4 linked regions of the Alligator mississippiensis genome follow. The protein of the gene in region 1 purifies or fractionates together with the protein of each later gene. This does not show direct contact. Links are inferred from orthologs where the notes say so. Each region holds a gene or a part of one and is shown in the gene's direction. Other genes may lie near its edges.

Region 1 (7,557 bases):
GAAGCATCTTGAAAATATAACCGTTCAACTGGTTCGTAAGCTTTTCTTTCCTTCTTCCCTTTCCTTGAGATTCTGCTTTTTTTCTACACAGGGATATTACTGCTGCTACAAAATTAAACTTAAGCCCAGCAGATCGCATACTGGCTGCATATTCCAGCTTGTCCACGCTCCTACCACTGAAATGCCCTCTTTGCAATGTGCTGTAAGATGGAAACCTGTTCCAGCTCCACTTTTCCCATCAGGGGACTGGGTAATAAGCACCCTCATTGAATTGCCTGAACCACGCAAAGGGGATCGCTCCTTTAAAGGTCATTTGAGCTTCATAGCTCAAACGTTGCCCTGAACTCAACTCATGTCCACAAGCAAAAGCCTCGTTCAAGTTTGGCAGAGCCGTTCACTCAAGCAGGTTCACGCAAGAGAGGCAATAAAGCTAAAAGTGAACTTAGTTCAACTTGTCAGCACAATTCTCTCATTTGGACACAGAGCCGCATAACCCAAGTCATCCAGTGCTTTCCCAGCATTCCCCCTGTGCTGGTTGTGGCCTTTTTAACCTTTCTGGAATGCGTGAGCTCCTAAGGTTAGAAACCACTTACCATAATTGCCCATTGTGGCTTTTGGAAGCGTCTCAGAGCACATATCTGACTGAGTGAAATGTGAAGTCCTTGGGGTTTTTTAATATTTTTTTTAAATCCGTCCCTTTTCCAAATAATTGTTTAATCTGTTGCCTCCTGTGGTGTTCCTACTATACAAATGTTAACAACAAATAATAGGAGCCAACTGATGGGCTGTTTTGGGGGTTTTTGTTAATGTCTTATTTTAATTGTAAAAGCCGCCCCCTTCACAAGACTGTCTTTGGCTCTGCATTTGCCCGCCATGCCAAGTGGTACGTATGAAGTCAAATGGAAGCTAGAGGAGACTGAGCAAGTATGTGTCAAGCACCCTCAATTGTCAAAAGGCAAAGATTTTGCACCTTCAAATCAGGAACTGAGCGGATTGGTGTTTTTTGGTCTTGTCTACCCACAGATTTGCACATTACCTCAAATCAAGCCAGGGCAAGTGTGAGTGTGGACACTCAGGAGTGGGTTATTTGGGTTACAGAGTGGGTTGTTTCCTCAACAGTTTTCTCTAAACCAAGTAATCCCAGTTTAAATAGAAAGTTGGCCATGAACACATGGATGGGGGGGTCAAGTCAGAGGCATAATCTTAGACCAAATCATATTGGGGCTTCTCACTGCCAAGCAGGTTGACAAGCAGGTATTTTAAAGCCTGTTTTATCCAGCAGCAAACTTGGCCCTAAGGTGGGAAGTGTTATGTGTGGTTATCAAGGACTGATGGAGATGACCCTTTCCAGCCCTGTATTTCTATATCTGCAGCATTTTTAAATTAGAGCAGCACGATGTACCACTGGTTAACCCATGAATGACTCCAAGTCTTCCACCCAGCCCTTGGACCAGCTGAACAAAATCAGTTTAAAATCGAACGTTCAGTGACGCCACTGCAACTCTGCAAGCCGACAAGCCCTAAGGGCTCCAGACAATCAAAGTTTTACCCTATGGTGCCATATTGATTATGAGTGACATCTGCCTTCAAACTGAATACTGCACTACAGCAAAAAAATCTGCTCAGCCTTAATTGTGGAAAAAATGTATGTGTTTTCATTATCTCTATGGGAAAATAAATAGATCAGACTAGATACATTTATCTGGAGGGGGAATCTATCTAGAGCTATGCAGATAAGGCGACAAATATCCTGAAACTCAAATGATACCAAGATGAACTTCGTTTCCCAGCAAGAAACAATGCTAAATAATAATGCTGATAGATTGTTTTTGACCCTGAAACATTTCTATATTAAAAAAAAAAAAAGATTTTGGCCAGTAATGGAAGGTTTTCAGCTGGGGTTTTGTTTGTTTGGTTTTTGGTGAGTTTGCAATAACAATGAGAAAAGCACAAAAAAAAAAAAAGAAATTTTGGGTTTTCTTTCTTCCCAACTCCACAATTAAAATAGTGGAAGAGGAAAATCTTCAGGTAAAAAAAAAATGAAAACTGACATTTTCTCCACTATCTTTTTCAAGGAAATGGGCAATTTTGTCCAGCTTTGATCTTCAAATGAGTACACACCTCCGCTTGGGCTACAGCTCAAGTCGCCTCCCTGCGCATTTATGTTGCCACTGAATCAGTCATTTTGACTGAAAAGAGAGAGAGAGGGTTGTTAAAATGCAAGATAAACAGACTGAAGGCAAATATTTCCTGTGTGCGCTAAAAACTGGCTTCGGAACAATTCCAGCAGAGCACACAGGTCACTCTCCTGCCATAACGTATGGGGGCTGGAGGGACGGCTCATTAGAAATAAATCAGTGTAAACAGGATCTGCTTTTATCAGTGGGAAAAGAGACCATGTAAACAAGTCACAAACAAGTGCCTATACATTTCCATCACAATCTGTTGTTTCGCAGTCTTGCAGGGAGTTACAATTACAGAGGGTGACTTATTGATTACACAGGATCCCAGCCCAGCCCACACACTCCCTCCTAGCAAGGGCTTTCCTCCTCCCCTGTGCCTCTGGAGTTGGAAGGAGGTCCTCTTTCCCGACAGCTCTTTTGCAGGCTGAGATCGAGCCATGAGCTGGTGTTGCAGCACCTGGGGTGTGCCAGCTGGGAGGGGTGGCATGGGAGAAGGAAGGGTGCCAGTGTGGGGACTGGGAGATACAAGACATCACCATGGGGTACTAGGAAATGATAGGGGCATCTCCATGGGGTACTGGGAAATGGTAAGGCATTTCCATGGGGTACCAGGAGATGGTGGGGCATCTCCACGGGGTATTGGAAAATCGTGGGGCATCTGCATGGGGTGCTGAGAGATGGTGGTGCAACTCCACAGAGTGCCAGGAGGTGGTGGGGCATCTCCATGGGGTACTGGGAAATAGTAAGGCATTTCCATGGGGTACCAGGAGATGGTAGTGCATCTCCATAGAGTGCCAGTAGGTGGTAGGGCATCTCCATGGGGTGCTGAGAGATGGTGGGGCATCTGCATGGAGTGCCAGGAGATGGTAGGGTATCTCCATGGGGTCCTGGGAGGTGATGGGGGCATCTCCACAGAGTACTGGGAAATGGTAAGGCATTTCCATGGGGTACCAGGAGATGGTGGTGCATCTCCATGGGGTACTGGAAAATCGTGCGGCATCTTCATGGGGTGCTAAGAGATGGTGGTGCAACTCCATAGAGTGCCAGGAGGTGGTAGGGCATCTCCATGGGGTACTGGGAAATACTAAGGCACTTCCATGGGGTACCAGGAGATGGTGGTGCATCTCCATAGAGTGCCAGGAGGTGGTAGGGCATCAGCATGGGGTGCTGAGAGATGGTGGGGCATCTGCACAGAGTGCCAGGAGATGGTAGGGTATCTCCATGGGGTCCTGGGAGGTGATGGGGGCATCTCCACAGAGTACTGGGAAATGGTAAGGCATTTCCATGGGGTACCAGGAGATGGTGGTGCATCTCGATGGGGTACTGGAAAATCGTGCGGCATCTTCATGGGGTGCTAAGAGATGGTGGTGCAACTCCATAGAGTGCCAGGAGGTGGTAGGGCATCTCCATGGGGTACTGGGAAATACTAAGGCATTTCCATGGGGTACCAGGAGATGGTGGTGCATCTCCATAGAGTGCCAGGAGGTGGTAGGGCATCAGCATGGGGTGCTGAGAGATGGTGGGGCATCTGCACAGAGTGCCAGGAGATGGTAGGGTATCTCCATGGGGTCCTCGGAGGTGATGGGGGCATCTCCACAGAGTACTGGGAAATGGTAAGGCATTTCCATGGGGTACCAGGAGGTGGTGGGGCATCTCCATGGGGTACTTGGGAATGGTGGGGCATCTCCATGGGGTGCTGTGGAGATGGTGGGGCATTACTAGCAGGGGCTGAGAGCCCTGCGTGCCCTCTTGCTCCTCCTGCATCCTGCCAACAGGGTTGGAGACTGTTTCCAGTGTCGGGCACGCCTGGCACAGCCCTGCGGAGGTCTCGCAGGGTGCGCAGCACATGCTCATAGGTGGGTGCTGGGGGACAGGGGAGGCTGGTGCTGAAGGATGCTGCGGGGCAGGGACCGGGGCTGCCCCCCGCGCAGTGCATCCCTGGGGCAGGAGCATCCCCCATTCAGGGGGCTGAACATGCCTCCCCTTCTCCATGCAAGCAGCCCGCGGGGGCCGCCAAAGCCGGCCTTTTGCTGCCGCCCGGCGGCCGGCGCGGGCATGGCGGGGCGGTGCGCGGGGCCGCCGCTGCATCCCCCCGGCCGGCCGGGCGGGAGGGCGCGGGGCAGGGCAGGGCAGGGCAGGGCAGGGCAGGGCGAGCACCCCGGTGCCTTGCCGGCTCCCCCTCCCCTGCGCTCCCCGCCCGGCCCGCGGCTCGAGGAGGAGTTTGCGGAGCGGCCGCTCCAATCGCGGGCGCGGAGGCTGAGCCAGCTCCTCCCTCGCTCCCTCCCTGCCTCCCCGAGCGGCTCCTGCAAAGTTTGAGCACCTGGGAAGCCGGCGCTGCCCTGCAGCCCCCGGCTCGGGGTCCCCCCTGCTGCCTGCGGGGATGCGGGGGGCAGCAGGAGGGAGGTAGGGGCGGGACGGGGGCTGCGTGTCTCTGCGGCTGCAGCTGGACCCCCGGGGGCAGGTGAGCCGGGCTGGGACCCCCATGCGCGGGGTGGGGGGCTGCAGGCAGGGGGCAGCTGGGGGGAGGATGCCGGGCACTGCCCTCCATGGAGTCCGGTGCCGGCCACGATGACTTTCCCCGCCCCGCTTAATGCCAGCGCGCCCGAGGGCAACCAGACGGCGCCCAGCCCGGGCAACCGCAGCTGGGCGCCGGGGGACGAGGGTGCCGCGGATGGCAATGGCACGTCGCTGAGCCCGGGGCTGGACCTGCAGGCGGTGGGGCTGGGGGTCTTCCTGGCGCTCTTCATCCTCTCGGCCATCGTGGGCAATATCCTGGTCATCCTGTCGGTGGCTTGCAACCGGCACCTGCAGACGGTGACCAACTATTTCATCGTCAACTTGGCCATCGCCGACCTGCTGCTCAGCACCACGGTGCTGCCCTTCTCGGCCACCCTGGAGGTGCTGGGCTTCTGGGTCTTTGGTCGCATCTTCTGCAACATCTGGGCAGCGGTGGACGTGCTGTGCTGCTCGGCCTCCATCATGAGCCTCTGCATCATCTCGGTGGACCGCTATATCGGCGTCAAGTACTCGCTCAAGTACCCGGCCATCATGACCGAGAGGAAAGCGGTGGTCATCCTGGTGGTGGTGTGGCTCTCCTCCATGGTCATCTCCATCGGGCCGCTGCTGGGTTGGAAGGAGCCCCCGCCGCCGGACGAGAGCATCTGTAGCATCACAGAGGAGCCGGGGTATGCCCTCTTCTCCTCTCTCTTCTCCTTCTACCTGCCCCTGGCCGTCATCCTGGTGATGTACTTCAGGATCTACGTGGTGGCCCGGCGGACCACCAAGAGCCTGGAGGCGGGGGTCAAGAAGGAGCGGAGCAAGTCCATGGAGGTGGTGCTGAGGATCCATTGCCGGAGCGTGCTGGAGGATTCCCTCTCCAGCGCCAGGAACAAGGGGCACAACCTCAGGAGCTCGCTCTCCGTGCGCCTGCTCAAGTTCTCCCGCGAGAAGAAGGCGGCCAAGACCCTGGCTATTGTGGTGGGAGTTTTCATCCTCTGCTGGTTCCCTTTCTTTTTCGTCCTGCCCTTCGGTAAGTGAATCCACCCCCCAACCCCCATGGCCCTGTGCCCGCTGTGTCTGATCCCCACCTGAGAGAAGTATCCTCCCCTTCCCACCCTTATTGAGGTCCTCCAGGGGCCAACTTTCCAGGCTCCCAAGGCAAGGTTGGGGGATAGGGCCCTTCTCTAATCTGGAGTTAAAATCAGTCAGCTCCAAACTTTGCAATATGTGGAAACAGCTCTGTCCTCAGAGTTGATGCAGGCTCCTGCCAGCCATTCTGGAGCCTTTCAATTATGCCCACCATGAAGGCACTACTTTCTATCACAAATTGACTTCATGGTGTAGAGAAGGAACACAAAAATGCTGCCCACTTGCTGCTACAGGCTTTCCGAACTGCCCAGAAAGAGCAGGAGGGTTTTGACAGGCACGCTGAAGTTCAGGCACAGGCAGGCACGTGCAGAGAATGAAACCTGATGTTTCATTTGCACCACGAGTGTCGAGGCATTTGTATTAGCTCCCTCTCCACTGTTTCCTTGTTGTGGGTTGTCTGAGTTTCTCATACCCCCGTGACAGGCTCCTGACGGGCAGCCCCTTGCAACCCTCAGGTAAGTTGTCAGAGCTGCCGATGGAAAAAGGGCCTGATCCAAAGCTGATGGAAGTTAATGGAAAGACTCTTGTTGGCTTTGATGGGCTACAGAGCAGGTATCACCTTTGCAAATGGAGAGGCCATCTTTTGAGTATGGCTGTAAAAGTGACAGGAGGATTTTTGGGCTAGCCCCCTGGCCTGGGCAACCCATGTGTTATATCATTATATGGGAAGCCTTGAGCAGGGAAGCCTCTTTCTGCCTTGACTCGTACCAGTGTGTGTGATGCTCCTTAATAAGGGAAATCCCTGTTCTGCCTTCACTCCCTGGAGACCCTGTGAAGCTGCCGGGTTTCAGGTGCTGTTGGCTCAGCCGTCCTCTGCTCAGTGCCTGGGTCCTAACACTCAATCTGCTTGAGGTTTGATCTGATGCATCGGGAGAGTTATTTAACTTCCCTGGGCTTCGGGGTGTCTGTGCGTAAAAGGCATGCAGTCCATGCCCACCTCCCAGAGAGGGGACCGATGCCGGGCATGCTCTGAGATGCTTTACAGGGCAGAGCTGCGTTAGGATAAGTATTGCCCCCTCCCCTTCCCCTTGGCAAATCTTCCCAGGTTTTATTCTGAGTGTTAAAATCTTGCTGCCAGTGTTTCTGTAACGCAGTGGGAGCCGCCTCTGTCCTGCTGGGAACCAGAGCTGCCGGCTCCACACTCAGCTTTTAGCACCTTGCTTAGATGGATTTTCCCCTTGGAGCAGCCCAAGCCGTCTGCAAAGTAAAGGCAGTTTGAGTTCCCCTGGCTGTCTTTCCTGCCTCCCCCCGCAAACAGAAGTACTGTAATAGGCCAGACTCTCAGTGGTTGTAAATCAGCATGGCTCAGCATAGTCCTTATGTGCGCCCCCCTTTTGCGAGCCATCCTTCTCCAACCACAGCCCACGCACACAACTCAGGAAAGGAAACCACTTTAGAGAAATCCTGTAGCCCAGGACATTTCAAAGCCATCTCATGCCCTCTGTTACTGCTGCAGGGATGCCCACAGGGTCAGGCAGTGGCCAAAATGCATCTTTTTGACGCTATCCGTGCTACTTTTTCCCCCCCCTCCATCCTGTTGTCATCTGACCCTACAGGGAGGTGCCAAGGGATCGGAGGCTCTGCCTGTCAGATCTAGGATACAGCATGTTGATTTAGAGTCAGATTTTTTTTTCCAGCAATGTTGTCATTGCCTCTTAGAGGGGCTGAAGCAGCCAGATTCACTCAGTGCGTCAGGGAAAGCCAGCACGGTCGGGGACAGCGTGAC
Region 2 (7,716 bases), on another chromosome or scaffold:
TCTGTACTGCCAGGCTCCTCACAGGCTGGATCTGGATATGGCAGCATGAATGGTTGCAGAGATTAACACAGCTGTTGCTCATCCCCCCACATTGAAATGCATTGCAAACAGGGCTGTGTGCCTCCTATTTTGGCAGCAGGCTCTGAATTCCTGGCTCCTCTACTAGCCATGTGGGACATAAGTTTGACACCCCTGCAATACATGATTCTTTGTAAATCATACTATTAACATGATTTTTTTTATATGTACTGGAAATTTTACTGATACAGTATTTATGCCACCTTTATTGAAAGATTGGGTTTTTGAAGTAGAACTTGCTCTTGAACACCTGAAAACTCTTTTGAAAGTAGTGCATGTTTTAGTTGGTGGGTAACATCATAGTCAGTCAGGAACATATTGGATGAAGTGTTTCATTTCACTTGCATGTAGTTCATGAATGTTACTGGGCCAGTAGTGTGCACATTAAGTAGGAGACCGTACCGCAATGGTCATTGGATCAGTGGAAAACTGTGGGTCAGGTCCAATGAGAACATAAAGAGGGCTAATATAAGTGTATGTGAAATTTTAATTTAGCATTTATAAATGTTCTCCCATTTACTTTCATCTGATTAGAAGTTTTTTGGGGGAAGGGCTATCTTTCTTCCATACTAATGTAGATCCTACTGTGTAACTGGACTTTCTAGGCATTGCAGTAATATCCATAGATTTAAATATGAAGTCTTGTTTTCTACCTCATGTAATTTTTTCCCCATTAATATACAATCTAATTTACAGTTACTAAGGTACAAATTATGGGTTGCACATGCAAACGTTTGGGGAAGATTGTGTGGGAGTTTAATGAGACTGCTTTCTTGATTTGTGTGCTTGTATTATAGGACCTTCAGTTTTAAATAACTCTTAATAAAACATGTACTGGCATAAGAATCAATTTTTTTTTCTCTCTCTTCTCCCCCCCCCCCCCCCCCCCCCCCCCCCCATGACAAGCTGGTCTGAATCACGGAAAAACTTAATTGGGAAAAGCTAATCAATCTGAAAAATGAATAAGAGGGATTGAGGGAGATGATCCCGATGCGAGAAAAAAGAGGGAAAGGGGCCAGGAGGCTTCCTTGGCTGACCAGAGAAATCCAGGGCAGCCTGTGGACTAAAAGGGGAGCATATAAAAAGTGGAAACGGGGAGAGATTACCAAAGAGGAGTATACCTCCTCTGCTCGCACTTGTAGGGAGGCAGACAGGCCAAAGCTACCATGGAGCTGAGGATGGCATCCCAAGTAAAGGATAACAAAAAATTGTTTTTTAGATATATAGGGAGTAGAAGGAAAGCCCAGGGTGGAATAGGACCCCTACTAAATGGGCAGAAGCAATTGGTGACAGACAGGGGGGACAAGGCTGAACTCCTCAATGAGTTCTTTGCCTCAGTGTTCCTAAGTGAGGGGCAGGACAAGGCCCTCACTGGGATTGTAGAGAGGCAGCAGCAAGGTACCAGACTACCATGCGTAGACCCTGAGATGATGCAGAGTCACTTGGAGGAACTGGATGCGTTTAAGTCGGCAGGCCCGGATGAGCTCCATCCGAGGGTACCGAAGGCACTGGCTGACATCATTGCACAGCCACTGGCGGTAATATTTGAACACTCATGGCGCACGGGCCAGGTGCTGGAGGACTGGAAAAGGGCCAATGTGGTCCCCATTTTCAAGAAGGGGAGGAAGGAGGACCCAGGCAACTACAGGCCAGTCAGTCTCACCTCCATCCTTGGCAAAGTCTTTGAAAAAATTATCAAGGCTCACATTTGCGAGAGCCCGGCAGGGCAAATTATGCTGAGGGGAAACCAGCATGGGTTTGTAGCAGGTAGATCATACCCGAGTAATCTAGTCTCTTTTTATGACGCAGGAGTAGGGGTTGATGTCGTATACTTAGACTTCAGGAAGGCCTTCGATACGGTATCCCACACCATACTGATGAACAAGCTAAGAGGCTGTGACTTGGATGACTACACAGTCTGGTGGGTGGTGAATTGGCTAGAGGGTCGCACCCAGAGAGTCGTAGTGGATGGGTCGGTATTGACCTGGAAGGGTGTGGGCAGTGGGGTCCCGCGGGGCTTGGTCCTTGGACCGATACTCTTCAATGTCTTCATCAGCGACTTGGACGAGGGAGTGAAGTGTACTCTGTCCAAGTTTGCGGATGACACAAAACTGTGGGGAGAAGTGGACACGCCGGAGGGCAGGGAACAACTATAAGCAGATCTGGACAGGTTGGACATGTGGGCGGAAAACAACAGAATGCAATTCAACAAGGAGAAATGCAAAGTGCTGCACCTAGGGAGGAAAAATGTCCAGCACACCTACAGCCTAGGGAATGACCTGCTTGGTGGCACGGAAGCGGAAAGGGATCTTGGAGTCCTAGTGGACTCCAAGATGATCATGAGTCGGCAGTGTGACGAAGCCATCAGAAAAGCTAATGGCACTTTATCGTGCATCAGCAGATGCATGATGAACAGATCCAATGAGGTGATAATTCTCCTCTATCGGGCGCTGGTCAGACCGCAGTTGGAGTACTGCGTGCAGGTTTGGGTGCCACACTTCAAGAGGGATGTGAATAACCTGGAGAGGGTCTAGAGAAGGGCCACTCATATGGTTAAGGGCTTGCAGGCCAAGCCCTATGAGGAGAGACTGGGGCACGTGGACCTCTTCAGCCTCCACAAGAGAAGGTTGAGAGGCGACCTTGTGGCTGCCTATAAGTTCATCACGGGGGCACAGAAGGGAATTGGTGAGGTTTTATTCACCAAGGCGCCCCCGGGGGTTACAAGAAATAATGGCCACAAGCTAGCAGAGAGCAGATTTAGATTGGACATTAGGAAGAACTTCTTCACAGTTCGAGTGGCCAAGGTCTGGAACGGGCTCCCAAGGGAGGTGGTGCACTTCCCTACCCTGGGGGTCTTCAAGAGGAGGTTAGATAAGCATCTAGCTGGGGTCATCTGAACCCAGCACTCTTTCCTGCCTATGCAGGGGGTCAGACTCGATGATTTATTGAGGTCCCTTCTGACCCCAGCATCTATGAATAAAGAAATAAAACAGGTAGAAATATGCCACCATTCCTAAAATATACTTTAATGCCAATATCTGTGGTAAATTGGGTAGTATCCTTTCTACATGGACTTTTCCTTCTACCTTTTTCCTCTCTAATAAACTCTTCTTTAATCTTTTTAATCCCAGTTACCTCAGTTACCTGTTGTTACTTACCATTTACCATCAGAAATATACAAAATATAGCTTGTGTTAAAGCACGTGTAACCATGACTTTCATAAGCATGTTTCAGAATTAAATTGAAGCACTTTTAATCTGCCATTTCTGAGATTCAGCATGCTCTTCTGTTGACCATTTGAAGGGTGGGAGCGGAGTTGCATGTTTTCTGTGTGTATGCGCTAAATGTAATTTTTAACTTATCGTTAATTTCAGGTATGTACAGTTGTTCCAAACCAGGGTCAGATAAGGAAATGGACCAGGGTTAGGCTGATCTAAATGCCCAATCATTCAAGTGCTCAGAGGTCTTAAATTGGGCAAAAAAGGCATGCCTGATTTAAATGTTGTTCACCTAAGTAGGTGTACAAGCATATATTGATATTCTGCTAACCTGATTTAGGAAACCTGAGCTTGTGAACATCTGCATGTGTTTATGGTGCAGCCCCAGGGCTGGGGAAGCCCCAGCCACTTTCCCCAGCCTGGGGCCATGCTAGTCCCCCTGCCCCACTAGCTGCCTATACCTAGATTGGGTGTGGTGACCTTAAGATTGCTTGGAGTTGATACTCTGGCATTTGTCTTGGTGTGTCTACTTCATGATGATCTTATCTTTGTAGCTTACATGAAAACAAACGTTGGGATTTTCATATCAGCAGTGGGGTTTCACCAGCGATCTGCTAAAATGAAAGGAAGATGTAGTGCTTAAATTCCTTGTACGTCTTTGAAATACCCAAACTAAAATATGTAACTGGTACCTGCCTTCAGAACAGTTTATTACAGATAGCTTTTCATAGAAAAAAAAAAATCAGAGAAGCAAAGTGCTTTATCAATGGTCATTGTTGTTTGTAGCTAACAGGAGTATGTATACAGCTTTTAAAGGACGTTGCTTGAAACTTCAGCAGGCTATTTGTTTAGAACAGCAGAGGGCAATCGCCACAGGTTCTTTCCTACCTTCAGCCCTGTAGAGTTTTTAACTTGCTATAGTTTTGAAAACAGGAAGGAAAAGAATTAACTTTTTGTTAAGAACACCCAGCAGTATATTGGTACCTTTATAAATAGGGACCTCTCTCTAATCATTTGAGCCCACATTGTTTGCATATATTCTTTAATACTGAAAAGTTTACTTGTTTCCTGAGTGGCTCACACTGTTGCAGTTTGTCAAGTTCTCCTCTTAAAAAAAACAAATTCTCCCCTCCCACCCTCCCTTTCAAATCCCAGCATGCAGTTCTCATGAGTGTACTTGCAGGCACTTCCTTTCCATCCTCATTTTCCTGTTTTTAAACATAAAGCTTGAACATGAGCATCCAGACATGTAAAAAACTTCAGTGGAAAAAGCATATGTTTTCTATGCCTGGGGATATTGACATCCAGGCTTGCTCTCTTCTACCAGGTGAGTAAGTATTTAAGACATAAGTGTATTTTCAAGACCAGAGGACAAAAAAAAGTAAATGAATGTTATTTCTGTCTACCTTTATCTGATGTAAGTTTTCTAAGTCTAATAGCAACATGTCATTGAAGACAGGCAGGAAACAGTCCAAGGAAAAGACGGTTTACAATCTGCTGTTTGTGGCACAACTCCGTTTTAAGTACTGTGTGAATTGTGGCTGGCTAAACACTCTCAGATCCGTTCACCTTCAGCTGTTTTTTAATCTAAATATTTCTTCTCAGCATACATTTGGTGAAAGTTCTCCTATTCTTTCACTGGTTGGCTTCCTTTGAAACCATGTAAAAATTAAACATGAGAGGAAGCTGGACAGTTTTGCTAATGTTTCTTTTTATCAGAAAGGAAACTACATCATTTTCAGTTGATGATCTTGTTGACTGCACTTTTATAGTGTTCTGCTCATTGTGATTGCTGAGCATATTGAATTAACATACATCCTTAACTTCACCACCATTTACATTCCAGTAAAGATGAATGAAATCTGATGTAATGAAAAATAAAGTAGGTGGACTTTTGGTAGAGAAGAAACTGGGACCACTCTTTCTTTTTTTGTTGAGACTTTTTAGGGATTGCTAGTTCCAGTGGTATGGGGCCAAAGCCAAAAAAAACGTGACTAGCAGAGCAGTGTCAGTGTGAAGACATCCACATAGGTGAATCTCAGTGTTCTAGATGACATTATGCCTCTGACAGGGCATGGTATTTCAGACCTTAAGGGCCTCATGCCAGTCAGCTTGGAGACTGATTATTTGATAATATAAAGTGACTCCATTGACTCCAAACTAGCTAAGCAACAGAGAGTTTAGCCCATCTGTTTTATTTCATTTCAGTTTTGACCTGAATTTTGGATACTAGAACAAGAGAGGAATTTCAGATTTTAAGTGAAGTGATATAATATGATCTATTTACAGTCTCATAAATATGTACATAGATCTGGAGCAATGGAGCTGATCTGGTGTTTAAGCAGAATAAATGAGATCTGCATCTAGCCCTTATTCTTTTAAGGGCCTAATCCAGCCTAAACTTCCATTTTAGCTGATGTAAATTTCTGGGCATGCTCAGTGGATTTAGTTATAACTTTACAAGTGCCTTGAGATCCTTTTGAGGGTGCCATAAATTGCCACAGAATGTTAGCACTGTTAAGTTTACAAACATGATTCACAAAAACCCAGAGATTTCCTATATAAATCCATAGTCGTGGTCTTTCTGAGTTTTTTACAGAGAAAAAAAGCTCTGTTTTTTTTCTGTAGTTAAAAATGAGTGAAAACTAGTTGGCATTTTCTGAAGGGTGCCTCAAATATGTCCAGGGATGCCTCCGGTCTCAGAAGATTGAGAACTGCTGCACTAGGGAGCTGTGTGTTCACCCTGGCTGAGAATCATTGCTCTAGTTATACACGGATGAGTTTCTAAGCGTGCTCAGTCCAAACTGTGAATAGGGATGGAGTACAAATGTAAACCCTCCTAGTTAAATTTTTGCTAATTGCTTCTCTAAGTGCTAGATGTGTGTTAATATGCAGAATTTTGTGTTGGTTTAAAAGCTTCTCGTAGAGAGAATTAGCTTTCTTCCCATAAGGTTAAAGTTCATTACTGCGCTGTCAAATTCATTACTGCATTGTCCAAAATATCTGTAATGCTCATTTGGAGTGTGTGAAGGACATATACATTGACTGGGAACATCTATGTGTGCATTAATGCACTTTTCCTAATATGCATTAAATTTAGTGCCTCCAATAAGAGGTACTAAATAAATGCGCATTTAGGTTGCACTAATGTGCAGTAGTGTAAGCACATGCTTTTTAGGTGATGCTTAATGTGCAATAGCTTATTCTATTGCTCATTAGCATATTAGCACTTTTTTTATGCACCACTTTAATGCACAGTAGAATAGGCTGCTGCACGTTAAGGCACACACAGACATGCCACAGATACTTTAAAATGACCCCAGGGAAAGGAATTAAAATTGATAGAGAAAGATTAGGATAGATTGGATTTGGGAATGGGGAAGGGGGAGGAAGAGAACACTGGAAACTAAATAGAAAAGCTAAATGCAAATAGTTTCTCAAACTCCATTTCGTTCAGTTTTGAAGAGAACAAGCAAGCTGAAATATTGTAAGGATGAAAAAAAGAGAAGTCAATATGAGGGTAAAATACCCTTCTGAGTATAGGTGGAAAACAAAAGAATAAAATAAAATAAAATATTTTATTTTGTTCTTTTATTCTTTTGGGGAATAAAATACAGAAGGTGGGAAAGCGTAGATGTAAAGTTTTAAACAAGCTTAGAAAGCATGTTGTATGCAGTATTTGGTTATATGGTTTACTTGTGGCTAGCTGTTTCTAGAAAATGCACAAATTTGTAAATGTTCTAGGCTTAGGCAGGGCAGAGGAGTGACTCGGTTCCTTTTTGGAAGCTGTAGTTAATCCTGAATTTCTTCTTAGAAGTCTAATATTTGACAGATTTGAGTTAGGGACTCTCAAGAGCTAGCCAACGCCCTGTATCCATACCTTGAATTAAACACAACTCCTGTCTCTCTCTCATCTCTCTCTTAACACCCAGAGCAAAATAATCTTGGTTAAGAAAAAATTAATTTCTGAGTGCCTTGTGCCTTTAAAAACCCCATAGCTAACTGTCTGCAGTCTCTTAACAGACATTCTCTTATGATTTAGCTATCTATTCTCTCCCCGCTTGTTCTGAATTCTGTCTCAGCACGTTTACAGGAACTGCGTAGTGCCTGCCTGCGTCCTAAGGTCTACTGTCCTTATGCCTTCATACTTGGTGAGCTCACTGCCTTCCAAAGGGGATGAAAATTCAGAACAGTTTTGTTTATGACCTTTTGGATAGTTACGGGATAATTTCTGTAACTGTTGCTTCTACTTATGGTTGACTGGACATATGAGGGTTTATTACTATACTAGATTATAGTTTATCTGATTTAATGGGATGTTGTTGTTATACTTGTTATAAAAGACTTATCCTCTTTAGAAACCTACTAAGCTCTTAGCCTCAGTGATATGGTTTAAGCTGCATATATAGCAGGCTGTTT
Region 3 (8,027 bases), on another chromosome or scaffold:
GGGGGGTGGGTAATGTAGTATCTAATGGTTAAAACTGTTTCCTTGGTGAGCTAGGGTATGTATACTCCATGGTAGCCCCTTCCACCTCATTCGTCTTGCACACTCCAAATCCAGAAATTCATGGATGAGGCCCAAAAGAGGATGAGTTAGCTGCCCAGAAGCCTACTGGGGACCCAACTCTTGAGAACAGATACAAAGAAATATATGGAGCAGCCTAACCACCATATTCCTACCTAGGTGTGGAGTGTGCAAGTGGAACAAGGTAGGCAGGGTTTGCTGCAGAATATCACAGTGTAGGCATCCTCCTAGACAAGCTTGGTTTTGAAGCTTGTAGAAGTGGCATAGGCCAGTCCATAAAGAGATTAGATGCTGCAGTGCTCAGGGTCACAATTCCTGGCTGCCATAACAGAATCCATACCCCTTCCCCCTAGGCTCGTATTCAATACAAGGACAGACTTAGGTGCCTTAAAAAGGGATGTGCAACAGCCAGTATGCTCAGTAGGGACTTGCCTCAGGTAGCCAACAGTAAACACTGAAGGAAGAAGAGTGTTTTAAAGCCTGCTCCTTTTGAGGGGCTTAGTACTACCCCTTACACAGCAGTACCAGGAAGCGTTTACCTCCATGCTGGATTAATGTTAGAGAATAAGCAATACATGCTCTTTATTTCCAAATGTGAACAGGGGTCACTCTTTTTCTAAACCATGGTTAAAGGGGGTAAAGTTAACCCATTTGATCCAACAGAGTAGTGACTAGAATAGTTACCCAGGATGAGAGACACCTGGATTCAATTTCTCCTTCTGCGCCAAGGAACTTATACTGATTTCTCCCACCAGAGAGTCCTAACCTGCAGATTATGGGCTCTCTACTCCCTTAAGTATACAGCTTCAAGATTCATTGAATCAGAGAAAGGCAACACAACTAATCTCAATATGCAGGGGTGGGAGCAGAGATCGGCTCCAGTCCCTGCTCCAAGAACGATGTCAATATAAAATGCATAAGCAAGGAGGCAGGAACGAAACCCAGTATTCTCCTCTTCCCACAAGGCTAGTGAGTCATGTGGCTCATGCTCTCTTTTTTCTCAATGAATCTTTATTTTTCTTTATGCAAAATGAAGCAGCTTTAACATGAAAGAGAAATAAGGAGAGCTTTCTGTTCTCTCCATCCTTCTAAAATAACCCATCAACAGGAGGACACTTCCAGGACATGGTATATGTTGGCTTGAATCCCCTCAGGAAGAGAAGGAAATAACTCATATCCTGAGTGAGCACTCTAGCAGATTATTGGATGAAAGGAGGGGAGGCAGCTCCTCTTCCAGCCGTGTTATGAAGGAAAAGGGCTCTGCATGTTTTTCAGGGCCTGAGGGAATAGGCCTGCTCTGAGAGCACCTACTGGATCACAGCGAGACGGGGAAGAGCGCCTTTTACAGAGAACCCATTGAGGCTGAGGCGTGAGATGGAAGCCAAGCTGCTCAATCCTGTTACGACCAAGGCAGAACAGGGGCTGTGGCTTCTGTTTTAAGGTCAGGTTTGACGTGCAGGTTAGGTCGAGGATGGCTTATATAGGGATGATCCTGCCTTGTGCAAGGGGCTGAACTAGAAACTTCCTGAGCTCTCTTCTAGTGACCTTTTCTTGTATAATGCCACGTTCAGAACAGAATTTTAATATGAAAACCAGAGTTACATCCAGGCCTAGATGATAGATGAACATGGATTTTGAGGATCTATATTTTGGACCAAGGTGCCTAAGATTTGTGAATCTGGGCCTTAGCCATTTTGTGGATGGGAAAATTGAAGTATGGAAGGGTTACCCCACAATCCACCTCATAAGGGTATTAGGAAAATTAGCTAATACTTGTGAAGGAGTGAGAGACACTTAGGCTTCAAAAAGCCTGAGGCTGAATCAACGTTACACGGTTTTCTCTAAGTGGCGCTGTTTAGATAGATAGCAAACAAAACACATATAGTCCCTTTGGTTGGGGAGGGGGGACTGGCTTTGACCATTTTTAGACTGGCTTTGACTGGGTTTAGACTGGCTTTGACCATTTTTAAACTAGTCTGTGCGTGCTGAACTTCTGTTCTGTTATGGGCATAAACTGGTTTTACGTGCCAAACTTCTGTTCTGTTACAGGTATAGACCAGTTTTCAATCACTTATACCAGTAAAAGTGTAATGTCTGTACCTGGCCTTAGAAGAAAGGCATTAGAAAAGGACAAATACTATTCACCTTTCCCAACCAAGGTAACCTAGATTTTCCAAACTGTTTATTGATGTTACAGCCCCTTTTGTCCATTACATGCATAATCAAAAGAGACAGATCCTGAATCATTACACTACTGTAAAACCAACACTGGGTAAGAGGTCTAACCAAGTGATGGTTCATGAACTGGTTATTTTTATAACCAGTCCTTAATACATCTTAATTACTGATGTGGTAATGGCTGAAAATAATCACCATAGTTCTTTCTTTGGCCTGAGCATAATGACCAAGTGGCCTCAGCTCACTGCTTGGTGACCCAATATATTCCATGCTGTTAGCTCTCTTAATTTTTGGAGCTTTTCTGCTCATATTTCTGAGACTGCCTGAGAATCTTGTTGGTCACTAATAATTATTCTTTTAGCCCTCAGAATTTTAAAGTAAACTTGTAAATGTAATACAAGAGCCAAAAGGCAAACAAAAGAAACTGAACTGTGCTTATTCCCTAAAATAAATAATTGTCTATCTGGACACTGAAACAACTTGGAACTTTCTCTTTAGTTTTTACTGTACATGAAATCTCCTTCTTCATTTGTATAATTATACTTATTTAAATCTACTTCTTTCAAAAGTCATTTCTATTTGTTGACCAACTGCCTCTATGCAGTTAGTCTGTGAAACAGGCTCATACAGTGTTGAGAAAAAATGTGTATTTCAGCTATACCTTCACCACCCACCAGGGAAGTTAAGCCACCCACATCCCTTCCATTTATTTGTTTCACCCACCGTTGATAAGTGAGATTACAAGCTCTTTGGAGCTAAGGCTGTCCCATATAATACATGCAGCAGTCAGCACAATGGATTCCAGAACGTGGCTGAACCACTAGGTACTACTGTAATACAAATAAGTAATAACAGGATGTTATATGTTCGTTGCTACCCTGGTTAACAATTTAAGATACTTATTGAATTCTCAACCATTTCTGGATTTTTTTTTCCTTCTGCCTGGCCAGGAAGTTGCACAGCCTTCTCAGATATTGAATTCACTATTGCAATTAATGCTTTTGTTATCTCCTGATTTAATTACTGCAATGCTGTCTACACAAGCCTACATCTCAAGACCACCCAGAAAGCAAAGCAGAGCACAGATGTCCAATTGCTTAATAATACTCCACACCTATGCATGACAATCTGCTCTGGGTTTCATATAGATTCAAGGTGCATTTGAAGATGTTGTTTTTATTTATTTTATTACCACGGTCTTTAGGAGTACTAGCCACGTACCAGAATCCCATGTTGTTAGACAACATACAAATACAGAATTTGTTCAGGAGAGTTCATCATGTAAACCAACTGTAACACAAGAGATCACATATAACAGGTGAGCACATGTAAAGGATGAGTATTGATCAGCACGCTAGGCAATATAGTACATCACCAGCTTGCCTGTTTGAGTTTTCTGTAGGCATCGCAGCAAAGGAGAGTCGCAAGAAGAATCTGAAGGGGGGTGGTAATGAGGTGGCTTTGTGGATACTTACCACATGAGAAGCACTTGGATGAAGCATAAAGATGTTTGTTGAAAAATCCAGCAAGTAGGCAATGGAGGGTGACATTATAAAGCACTTAACAACTTAGGTCATGCGTGATCCACGGGTTGTTTCTTTCTCCCAGTGAAGCTGCTTCAATTGAGATTCAGCTAAAGGAGCCAGCAGTTCTCTGGTTCATCATACCAGGTGGGATAGTGGGTATTTTCAGTGAAGGAATTAACCCTGTTTTGCTTTCTGGTAAGAGCCTGACTTTAACAATCTTCTATTCTCTAAGTTCGTCTTTTCTCTGTTTTTTTTTCCGATGGTTTGTACCAGGATGACAGACATTGTGATTCTTGCTCGGGTCTTGCAAGCAGCTGTGCACAGAGCTGCCCATGCTGGGAGCACAGCTGTGTGCACATGGAGCAGCTTGTGGGATCACGCTTTGGTGGGGGGCGTTGAACCGGATTTGTTTTGGCTGTTTTTCCTAGCAGGTTGTATCACAGTAATATCCCCAGCAAATTTCCCCAGGAGAAAATGTGTGAGAGCGTGTACGTCTGTGTGTATGTGTGCGTGTTTTAAACTCAGTCACTCTGTCCCAGAAAGACAGCATCCCAGTCGCTGTAACTGCTTTCAACTTCACTCTTCCAAATAGCACCGTAATGACGGGTGGATCCAGGATTTTGAGAAAAAGGGTGCAGATGGTGTCGTACACGTTTCTCCAGTGAAAAAGAAATGAGAAGCTTCACTAATCAGCTAGGGGCCTGGAGCTATAGTTACTCAATTTAAAATGGAAGGAAAAAAAACCCAAACACTTTATTGGAGTGCCCATGAAAACTTGCGATGTCCTCTATTACCTAGAAGTCCCAACTCGACCAAGAATCACCCCAAGACACCGTGTCATTAGTCCTGTCGTCATAAAACCAAGCCTCCCCTTCTGGCCCCGGTGCCGGCGACCCGCGCGGCCCCTCACAGCGCGGACGGCCGCGTCCCCCGGAGCTGCCCCGCGCCGCAGCGCCTCTTTCTAGCTGCCGTTCACACCGGGTCGCGAGTCGCTCCGGCGAGGGCGCCCTTCCCACCTGTGGGACCGGGCCGAGGACGAGGAGCCCTGCCACCCTGTTTGCAACTTCGGCACCGGAGCCCCTGGGGGGAGGGCGGGAAGAGGAGGAGGAGGAGGGGCCGCCGCGCCCCGCCCCGCCCCGCCCCGTCCGCGGAGCGAAGTCCCGCGCTGCGCCGCGCCGCGCCGTGCAGTGCCGAGCCGCGCCGCGCCGAGCCGTGCCGGGTGCCGGTGTGTGCAATCACATGGTATTTTAAGAATGCTCCAAAGATGGCGGTAGCGGCGGGCGCGGGCGCGGGCGCGGGCGCGGGCGGCGGCCGGGCGCAGCGCAGCGGCTGGCTGGAAGTTTTGGTGCGGGAGCGCTGGCACCGGGTGCTGGTGCACCTGGGCGAGGATGCGCTGGTGCTCAGCTGCGACGAGCGCCCCGACGGCGCGGCCCACAACGGCCTGGGCGGCAACGGGGCGTCCCCGGGCGGCAGCCCCACGGCGGCGGGGGTGCGCACCGCCTTCACCGACCCGCCCGAGCAGGTGCCCGAGAGCCTGTCCAACCAGAAGCGGCGGGTGAAGGTGCTGAAGCAGGAGCTGGGCGGGCTGGGCATCAGCATCAAGGGCGGCAAGGAGAACAAGATGCCCATCCTCATCAGCAAGATCTTCAAGGGGCTGGCGGCCGACCAGACCCAGGCGCTGTACGTGGGCGATGCCATCCTGGCTGTCAATGGCACGGACCTGCGGGACGCCACGCACGACGAGGCGGTGCAGGCGCTCAAGCGGGCGGGCAAGGAGGTGCTGCTGGAAGGTAAAGGGTTAATGCGCCGAGGAGGGTTCCCCCCCACCCCCCCCAGCCCTGGTGCACGTGTGTTGGGTTAAGTGGAGTGACTCCGGTTTGGGGCTGGCTGGTCCCTGCTGGAAGGTAAAGGGTTAATGTGCTTGGGGGTCCCCCCCTAGCCCCAGGATGCATGAGTGCTGTGTGCGGCACGGAAGGGCTTAAATGGAGTGACTCCGGTTTGAGGCTGGCTGGTCTCTGCTGCCTGTGCCCTGGAGGTGCCAGGGGCAAGTGGGGTGGGGGCTGAGGGTCTCTGAGCTCTGCCCCCTCGGCCAGGGCCGGACGCAGGCACCCGCTCGGGGTCTGGACAGAAAGGGGGCCTGAAAATGGTATTTTTTAATTATGATTATCATTCTCTCTGGCAAAGGGGGGCAATACTAAAAGTTCGTCCGGGGCCACCAGAAGTGTAGGTGCCACCCCAGCCCGCTGAGCCTTGTGCCATGTCTCTGCAGTGACCCACGTGTGGATTGAAAGCGGCACCAGCGCCTTTTCATCCAGGCAAGCGCTAGGTTTGACTGGGCAGGGAGGAGTTAACAGCACCTGGGATCTCGGAGGCTGACAGCCCGGCCACTTTCACTCAGCCAGGAGAGAGAAACGAGCAGATCAGGTCGTGCAGGGCTGTGCCAACCCGCCTGGCCTGGAACGACTGAAATGTGCCCCCCACGCGCACAATGCCCCAGTTTATGCAAAGGGAGAGAATAAACTTGAGGGGACCTGGCCAGGGTCTCCCTGAAACATTCATTTCAAAACACGCAAAGCAGAGACTTTCCTTTCCCAAGCGCGAGACAGCCTTTTAGAAACCGCCCTCGAGACGGAGTCCAACATGCACAGTGCTCTAAAGCTTTGGCACACACCTCCGAGGACACCCAGCTGAAAGCAAGCGCTCCAAGGGTACGAAACAGGGGACAATGAGCTCAGGATCAGAAACAAAAATCTTCAGGCTTAGAAAAAGAAGAGTTTAACCCCCCCCCCCCCTTTTTGCTGGAGGGTTAATGTATTTACTAGATTTGAGAGAAGGAACAGCTGAAAAGAAGGGGAAAAAAACTCGGTGTACATTAGAGAGAAAATGCCCTTGGTGCCCATGTTTGATTAAAGTACCTGCTTGTTTGCACGTAAGTTCATTTATCGAAGGGTCATTGGCATTTGTGGAGCGGTGTGACACGCCTGCTTCTGGATTTTTTTTTTCTTTATCTCCTGTTTTGCTTTGAAATAGATTTGCTCAGTCATTTTTCAAGTGGTCCTTCTGATATTTCTAAACCACAGCAGCTTCTGATGTGCCGCTTTTGAATTACTAAGGAACTTTGGGACCCTCTTGCGGAGCCATGGGGAATTGGACCGCAGCCTCAGGGGTGCATTTGAGGTCGCATGCAAATTACTGAATGTGGGGTATGAAAAGGAAATGCCGTAAAAGCTTCTCTGGGGAGTTGGGGAGGAAAAGTAAACTCTAGCGGGGTCTTTGGCAGTAAAAAATGAGCAACCCATTGATCTGCTCTGCATCTTCTGCAGTGGAAAGTAACTGTACATCCTGTGGATCAGGAGGAATTAGCCAGCACTAAGTCCAGAGGATCTAACCGTCCCCTTCATCTAGCTTCACAGCTTATGAAGGCATCTTCTGTGTCAGAGAGGGAGAGAAAAAGGGAGAGGCTGCTGTGGCCAAATTGTGTCATTGGTTACACCCATGAAGCCCAGGGGCTCTGTGGGTACTAATATGGACAGCATTTGACCTTTGGTGTTGTCTAATGATTGACATAAGCAAACACTACTACTTTCTTAGGCATTTTTCTTCTGTGTAACACACGAGAAGCTAGTCTAGACATGCTGCAGCTGTGCAGCACTTGTAAAAGAGTCAGTTTTGTTCCTTGTGGGAGCAAAGATCAGGCCGTTTGACCATGGACTCTGTCTGCTGCTGTCCCCTCTGCCCCCGCTTCTCTTAAAGTGATTGCAGCTGCTGCCTTATGTTCTTTGATCCAGTGAAATGAATGCTGGTGTCTTTTGGCTCTTACTTCTGTGCCAGGATAGCAGTACGGGTTCATGTGCAAAGGCATATTTGAATAGTCAACCCTATGGATATTTAACATACTACTATGCACAGCTCTGTCACTGAAAGGCTTGCCTTGGACCAGAGTGTACTTGCGTCTGTGGCAGGAACTGAAATAAGAATTGCCCACAGTGTCCCCTTAGGACACGCTGTTCACTTCAGTAAGGAAGCTTGCTCTATGAATGGCTTGTGTAAGCAGTGTAAAATAACTTAGTGAGATCCAGTTTCCCACTTTGAAGCTCCTTCTTCAGCAAGGCAGCTTCAAGCAGGCTGTTTCTGACCTGAAGAAAGGCAGAATAAACGTTTTTCTCTTGTTTTGAAAGGAGAACAAGTGTGTTTTGCATCAGATCTGACTGAGCTGTTCCTGCTTCTGTCCCTGTCAATGGGAGT
Region 4 (7,490 bases), on another chromosome or scaffold:
TACATCTCCAAAGCTTCCCTTTTCTTCTTTTTTATGCTGCTTACCCAAAGTCACTCTTTTGAGATGGAGTACCATCTTATATGTGTGTGTATATATGAAACCACTAAATATCTCACAGGATACTGTATCTTCTACATCCCTCTACCCAGTTTCTTGTCTCTTTACCCCAATTGACACTGTCATCTCTTCATGTTGCTCTTCTGTCAATTAAAATCCCAGAACAACAACAGGGTCCATTTAGCACTGACCCTCATGTCTGCACAGTTTCACCCAAAAGTCTTGTGATGAGTAGTGCTTTGCAGGATCAAAACCTCAAGGGTTATTTTTGCATTATCTAACAAATTATACACATTGTCAAGTCACAGTTTTCACATGTAGCCGAAACCAGATGGGAAAATCTGTGAAAGCAGACCAGAAAAAGACAACCACTTTAAAATACTGTGTTTTTTTTAAACAGTGCATGTTATATTTGTAATAAAGATACCACCCTTTCGTTTTCAGGTAGTGTGTGCTGGTTGAAGGCAATATACATTTAAGAAAGTGATGCAGCATAGTGCCACACTCCCTGTTCCTTAGGCATCTTGTGGTATCCGGACAACAGTGAATGCTTCTTGTACAGGTAAGATAAACTGTGTTTGGGGAAAATAAGTGAATTCTAGTACTTGGAAACAAGTGCTTAAAGGTGGCTTCCTAAACCCATCTTTGGCCATCTAAATATCAGGATTTTCAGAAACACTGAAGTAAGTGTGAATTTCTGGGGTTCATCACGTTTCTAAATCAAGCCATCAGACCTCTGAAGGTCCCTTCTAGCCCTACTTCTTGATGATTCTATGGACCTATAGCCTTCCTGAGGCCCCAACCCTACAAACACAAGCATATTTGACCTTGCTTTTGTGAGCAGTCCCATTGACAAACTGTTCATAGGAGTAAAGCTAAGCATGTAAACAACTGTTTGCAAGAATGGGGTCTAAATCCTTCTGGCTGGTAGGTTCTGAAGCCCCAATTAATTAAGCATTACAAGAAGTGTGTGAAAGGGGAGACGTGGGCTCAAATATCTGTTAGCTCTCAGAAAAAGCAGAGGGGCTGCTGTTTCCAGTGGCTTCCATCTCCAAAGGACAATGCTGTTGGGGTAAGGTTGTGACAGCATTAGGGCCTTGTTGCATCTTATGCTGTAAGATGCACAAATGTTGATCAGTGTGAATGCTAGCTTGGAGTTTGGATCAGTCACAAGCTTAGTTTAGAAACCTTGTCTGATTGTCCCCCATCTGTACCACTGTGACTTGCCACTGGCAGCCTGGTGATCAGGGGCAGGACTAGGAGCTGAAGGTATGAGTTGACACTATAGGGCTGGTGAGCCAGAATAGGCTTCTATCATAGAATCATAGAAAATTAGGGTTAGAAGGGACCTCAGGAGGTCATCTAGTCCAACCCCTGCTCAAGGCAGGATCATCCCCAACTAGATCATCCCAGCCAAAGCTTTGTCTAGCCAGGTCTTAACAACCTCCAAGGATGGAGATTGTACCAACTCTCTGGTTAACCTGTTCCAGTGCTTTACTACCCACCTAGTAAAAAATTTCTTCCTACTATCTAGTGTAAACATCCTTTGCTGTGACTTGAGACCATTGCTCCTTGTTCTGTCATCTGCCGTGACTAAGAACAGTTTGGCTCCATCCTCTTTTGAACCTCCCTTCAGGTAATCGAAGACTGCTATTAAATCCCCTCTCAGTCTTCTCTTGTCTAGACTAAATAAGCCCAGTTCCCTCAGTCTTTACTTGTAAGTCATATTCCCCAGGCCCCTCACTATTTTTCTTACCCTCCAATATTTCCACATCCTTTTTGTAGTAGAGAGCCCAATGCTGAACACAATACTCCAGATGTGGCCTCACCAGTGCTGAAAAGAGGGGAATAATCACTTCCCTTGACCTGCTGGCAACACTCCTACCAATGCAGCCCAGTGTGCCATTAGCCTTCTTTGCAACAAGGGCATACTGCTGGCTCATATTCAGCTTATTGTCCACTGTAACCCCCAGATCCTTTTCTGCAGAGCTGCTGCCCAGCCAGTCAGCCCCCAGCCTGTACTGGTGCATGGGATTCTTCAGTGCAAAGTGTAGAACTGTGCACTTGTCCTTGTTGAACCTCATGAGATTTCTTTTGGCCCAGTCCTCCAATTTGTCCCAATTACTCTGAATCTTAGCCCTACCCTCCAGCATATCTACTGCTCCCTCAAGTTTGGTGTCATCTGCAAACTTGCTGAGGGTGCACTCTGTGCCATCTTCCAGGTTGTTGTTGAACATACCGAACAAAACCAGCCCCAGGATTGACCCCTGGGGCACTCTACTTGATAATGGCTGCTAGCTAGACATCGAGCCATTGATTACCACCCTCTGAGCTCAATGCTCCAGCCAGTTTTCTATCCACCTTACAGTCCATTCATCCAGCCCATACTTTCTTAGCTTGCCTGTGAGAATGTTATTCAAGAACCTTGTTAAAATCAAGATATACCACATCCAGTGGTCTTCCTGCATCCACAGAGCCAGTCGTCTCATCGTAGAAGGCAATCAAGTTGGTCAGGCCAGACTTGCCCTTGGTGAATCCATGCTGACTGTTTCTAACCACCGTCTTCTCCTCCAAGTGCTTAGAAATGGATTACATGAGGATCTGTTCCACAATTTTTCCAGTGACTGAGGTGAGGCTGAGTGGTCCATAGTTCCCTGGATCCTCCTTTTCCCCTTTCTTGATGGGCATTATGTTTACCCTTTTCTAATCATCTGGGACTTATTCTGATCACCATGAGTTTTCAAAGATTATGGCCAGTGTCTTTGCAGTCTCATCAGCCAACTCCCTCAGCACCCCCAGGTGCATCCCATCCAGCCCCATGGACTTGTAATTGCCAGCTTTGCTAAATAGTCCCTAACCTGTTCTTTTGCCACTATTGGTTGCTCTCCAGGCAGGGGTGTGAGATCTTGGGATGTTGGAGGACTTCAACTTGGGTGGCACATCTGTGGGGAGTGGCTACACCTTAATGCAGGGACTGGCAATTATTTCAGGCAGGGGGCCGCTTACTGAGTTTTGGCAAGCCATCGAGGGCTGCATGACAGGCAGCCAGGGACAGATAAATAGTATTTTTCTAAATTTTTTAGGGGCCCCCGCGGGCCAGATAAAATGGCCTGGTGGGCCACATCCGGCTTGCGGGTTGCATTTTGCCCGCCCCGCCTTAATGGAACAGGAGGTGGGTAGGGCAGATCAGAGAGAATCCTGTCCTGGAGTAGCATAACTTTGAGCTGCATAATGAGTGCTTAAAACCACTTTAAGAGTGTGTACAGAAGTTGGTTGCCATTTTCTGTAGCCATTTAAAGCACTTTATTTCCGCGACTGAACAGAAGTGCAGGGCCTTATAGCACTTTCAAAATGGGTACAGTGCTTTACATTAACCCTTGTTAAATGAGGTATTTTACAGCACTTTAGCAACCTACAGTGCTTTAAATAAATTATATATGCTGGTCAAATTTCTGAGCAGTGGAGAAGCCCCAGGAGGCTGCAGAGCACTCCCTGACTCCTAGCCCAGAAAGTGCAGGGAGGCTCAGACCTCCCCCGCAAACACTGCACTTCTATCCTGGTGAAGAGCACTGTAACTGTACAGTGCTGTGAAAAATGTTCTGAATTATAGTCCTGTAAAATGTCCATGGAGCACTTCTGTACACACCCTAAGGTGTGGGGACAATCCCGGGGTTAAGATGTTCTAGGAGCAGCCCAAAATTACTGTACGGCAAGCCCTTATTCACGTTTTTGGTCCCCCCAGGGCTTTGGCTGCCACGGCCAGGGGGCCGGGGTGACCTGCCCAGCACCGCCACCCGGCATTTTGCGGGAAGGAATCCGCCAGACGCTTCTGCAGCAGAGGAATCGTCCCCCTTTGTGCTGGGCACGAGGGGATGACAGGAGCCTGAAGTAAGGGAGGAGGCAGAGCAGAGATGCATCTTCATAGCCTGAATGAGGGGGAGAGAGGGAGAGCGGGGGAAGCCCAGCTCCCTCCCTCAGATGCTGGCAAAGGAGGGCACAAAGTGCCAAGTGTGGGGCGCGACTGGCACACCGGGAGGGCGAGGAGGAAGCCAAAAGCCCCCTCTCCATCAGAGAGGAGGGTTTCCTCCGCCCGCAGCAACCTCTGCCAAACAAAACATGACATCATCCTGCACAGGGCTCCTGCAGCCCCCGCCCGGCACCTCCACCCCCAATACGTCACCCCCTCGCGCTGCGCCCCCCGCCCGCCCGGCGCCAAGCTCCGAGGGAGGCGGGGGGAAGAGAACCTCACGGAAGCTCCGGGCAAAGGGCGGAGTAAGGGCAGCGGCTTCATCTGAGCTTCACGTTCCCACTAGGCATGCGCGGAGCCTTCGCACATGCCCGCCAGGGGGTTGGCGCAGGCGCAGAAAAGAGATGAGGACTCGGTGAGGCAGGGCAGTTTCTGCTATGACACCTGCAGCATGTGCCAGGAGCTGCAGCAGCAGCAGCAGCAGCAGCAGGCGCGGTGCATCCTCCTCGCTCCAGTGTGGTAAGCGGTGGCGGCAGCAGCTCCCTCTCTCTGCGTCCCTGCTGCCTTGCACTGTATTTCAGCGGGTGCATGGTGACCTTACAGAGTGTGCATTACCTCACAGGTAAATATCAGCTGATCCGCTGTGACAGCAGGAGCAGGAGCAGGAGCAGGCAGCAGCAGCAACCCACAGAGCCTTTCTGGAGGTAGCAGTTCATTCATTCCTTCACTCATCTTGTCCCTCACCTCTACTTTCTCCCCCACCTCCCTTTATTCACTCCCCCCCCACCGCCCCCATGCAAAAGCCAAAGGGCTGCAGAGGATGCTGAAGCCTCCATTAAGGACTCTTCCCACCACTGCAAAGACTCTGAGGAGTATTTAGTACTGGGGGGGGGGGGGGGGATGAATATTCCTGAGCCAGAGGCGGCTGCTAGTGTTGCAATGCACTGCGGTTTCAGTGGAAATGGCTAAGGGGAAGGATGCGCTGAGGGGCGGGAAGGGAGGGAGCTTCAGCCTGTTGCCTACTTTTAAATCTAGCTAAATAGACACCGGTGCGGCTCCCCTGGGTACGGTGCTTGGTCGCTAGGCATGCGATTTTCCTGGCTGCGAATACCCAAGCTGGTCTTGGTCCTGCTATGGAGATGGAGGGAGAGATGCTGATGCTGGATTCTTTGGGAAAGAGGGAAACAAGGGTCATAACTCAATGCCTGCTGCTGAGTATCCCTGTGGCAAGAGCTCTCTTTCCTACAATGGCTGGTGACTATTGGGCATCAGGTATTTCATTAGGAAATACCACCAAGGTATGCATTCATGTGGAGAAAGGGAGTACACATATGTGTGTGTGTGTGTGTGTGTGTGTGTGTATGTGTATGGTGCGAGGAAGCTTAGGAAAACTGTCATAGGCCTAAGACATAATGTTTTTTGACTTCTGCTGTACTTCAGTTTTTCAGTAGTTGTTGTCTTTTTTTTTCCAGTAGTAAAAGTGCACATTGCCTACCACTGGCCTTTATACCTACTGGCTGTTCTGTTTATGACCCTGGTCATTGTACTGTATTTGTGTATGGGGGCACATACAATGGATTTTAGTGGAGGAATGAAAAGGGAAAAGAATCAAGCTCAGATGCGTAACAATCAAACACTTCAAAGAGCAGGTCCTGATTTCCCTTTCGCCCCTGAATTTAACAGTGTGCAGTCTCTTATTTCTTAACAAATATGTCAGGGAACACTGTTGTAGGTATCCTATGAAATATAGTTGTATAAGCTAATGCTTGATAAATAAATTATTGTAAAATATATGATCATATATAATCCTTGTATGTATAATTATTTACCTACTTGCTAACTTACTAACTTCAGTCATTTACAGTAAACATCCTAGTTACTACAGATTGACTAGTTCCTAACATTGTGGGATATCTTTTATGCCATGGAATAATTATTAAATGCTAAAATTAAATGGTGCTAGAGGTATTGTGGTCAGATGAACCTCATAAATATGCGTTGGGATCCATCTGTCAGCATTTACAATGTTTTCAGTACTGTTTAAAGCCCTAATGTGAATAAATGCCACTTAATAAATCCTGATAAATATCAGTGACCTAAGAGGTCTTCAAATGAGTTTTGTGAAGTAAAAAGTGCTGAAGCAATATTGTAAGCTTGTTATTTCTCATCTTTAAATCCTGTCGCAAGCTTGAAGTTATGTAACTTACTCTTCTTTTTTACCTTTATTTCTCACTTTATTGTTGTCAGTGTGGGAAATGATGTCATCATCATGGGGAAAAAAAGGCAGAGATTTTCACTTTTAATCCTATCTTTGCTGTGGAATCCAACAGCAGTTTCCCAGACTTTCAATTTAATGTCAGGATGTAGCACTTGTATCACCAGCAGTGGTGGGCATATGTACTAGCAGGTTTTTGTCATACTTGGAGCACCCAATACACTATTCATGAAAGAGTGGTATAGAGTGCTGTGTACTTGTACTTACTGTTGCTTTATTGACAGAGAATGTATGAGCGTGTGTTAAAAGCCACCTTCACAACTAGTTTGACTTTTCAGTACCCCTTAAAAGATAACAGCTCCACTGACAGTTCTTGGAGATTGCTCTTACTCCTACTGAAGTCAATGGCTAAATTCCCTGTTTAGGCAATATCAAATACATTGCCTTAAATGTATGAAATACGTTATAAGTGTGTGGGTGTGTGGTTGCCTGAGTATCTACTTTGTTTTTAAAATGTTTGATATATCAAGAGGTAGAATTTAATATTAAACAACTGAAGACCAAACCTAATCCCCTCCACTAAAATATCATGCATAAATTACAAATGTTGTGTCCTGAACACTTAAAGTGTTCACTTACAGTTTTAACCAGTGAACTTATAGTTCACTTATAGTTTTAACCAGAATATGTTGTTATAATTCTGCAATGGCAAGAGTAAATACAAAATTGTCCCCCAACCACAACTGAGCATATAAATAAAAAAATTAATATTGTGTATGTGGCTGCTTAGTTGTGTTCATGTGTAATAATTTCCATGAACAATTTCTGTGCATTATTGTTTGTATAAACCAATGGTAGCCTGCAGAAAACGATGCATCCTCAAACATACTGGCATCTCCTGTTACTTATTACTGTGTCAAGCCCTGATCCTGAATTTAGCTGATGAGTCGCTTACACCCACGTGGACTCCTGTTGATTTTCAAAACCTACAAATTGCTGAAAATTAAGATGGTGTCTGTGAAACTGTTGGGTAGAAATTTATTAAGTTTTAGAAAAGGTCAGAAGTGGAGGTTGGTTGCTTGGTTGGTTTGCTTTTGACAATGAAAGGGTCTGTAAAGCAATTTTTTTCCTCATACCACTTGTATACTAGTGTTATTCTTTTGACTTCAGCTTGTAAAAGGGTCAGCATCATTATCCTAATATATCTGAATTGAAGTCAGTGGAAACAGTTTGGTGTAAAAAGAAGCTCAG

The links.
Region 2: the proteins of ADRA1D (region 1) and UTRN purify together in Homo sapiens (tandem affinity purification; 4 studies listed by BioGRID and IntAct, with this or other methods). This does not show direct contact. The link is inferred for Alligator mississippiensis from reciprocal best matches to the Homo sapiens genes ADRA1D and UTRN.
Region 3: the proteins of ADRA1D (region 1) and SNTB1 purify together in Homo sapiens (tandem affinity purification; 4 studies listed by BioGRID and IntAct, with this or other methods). This does not show direct contact. The link is inferred for Alligator mississippiensis from reciprocal best matches to the Homo sapiens genes ADRA1D and SNTB1.
Region 4: the proteins of ADRA1D (region 1) and DTNA purify together in Homo sapiens (tandem affinity purification; 4 studies listed by BioGRID and IntAct, with this or other methods). This does not show direct contact. The link is inferred for Alligator mississippiensis from reciprocal best matches to the Homo sapiens genes ADRA1D and DTNA.

Annotation. Positions count from the first base shown.
Region 1 is NC_081825.1:8,460,916-8,468,472, reverse strand, and holds the start of ADRA1D (alpha-1D adrenergic receptor), read left to right. Parts: upstream 1-4,375; 5' UTR 4,376-4,751; coding exon 4,752-5,712; intron 5,713-7,557. UniProt on the Homo sapiens protein: This alpha-adrenergic receptor mediates its effect through the influx of extracellular calcium.
Region 2 is NC_081824.1:124,454,694-124,462,409, forward strand, and holds the start of UTRN (utrophin), read left to right. Parts: upstream 1-4,515; 5' UTR 4,516-4,530; coding exon 4,531-4,624; intron 4,625-7,716.
Region 3 is NC_081826.1:22,274,477-22,282,503, forward strand, and holds the start of SNTB1 (beta-1-syntrophin), read left to right. Parts: upstream 1-4,965; 5' UTR 4,966-5,046; coding exon 5,047-5,572; intron 5,573-8,027. UniProt on the Homo sapiens protein: Adapter protein that binds to and probably organizes the subcellular localization of a variety of membrane proteins. May link various receptors to the actin cytoskeleton and the dystrophin glycoprotein complex.
Region 4 is NC_081826.1:79,295,392-79,302,881, reverse strand, and holds the start of DTNA (dystrobrevin alpha), read left to right. Parts: upstream 1-4,454; 5' UTR 4,455-4,461; coding exon 4,462-4,543; intron 4,544-4,642; exon of another isoform or gene 4,643-4,646; coding exon 4,647-4,728; intron 4,729-7,490. UniProt on the Homo sapiens protein: May be involved in the formation and stability of synapses as well as being involved in the clustering of nicotinic acetylcholine receptors.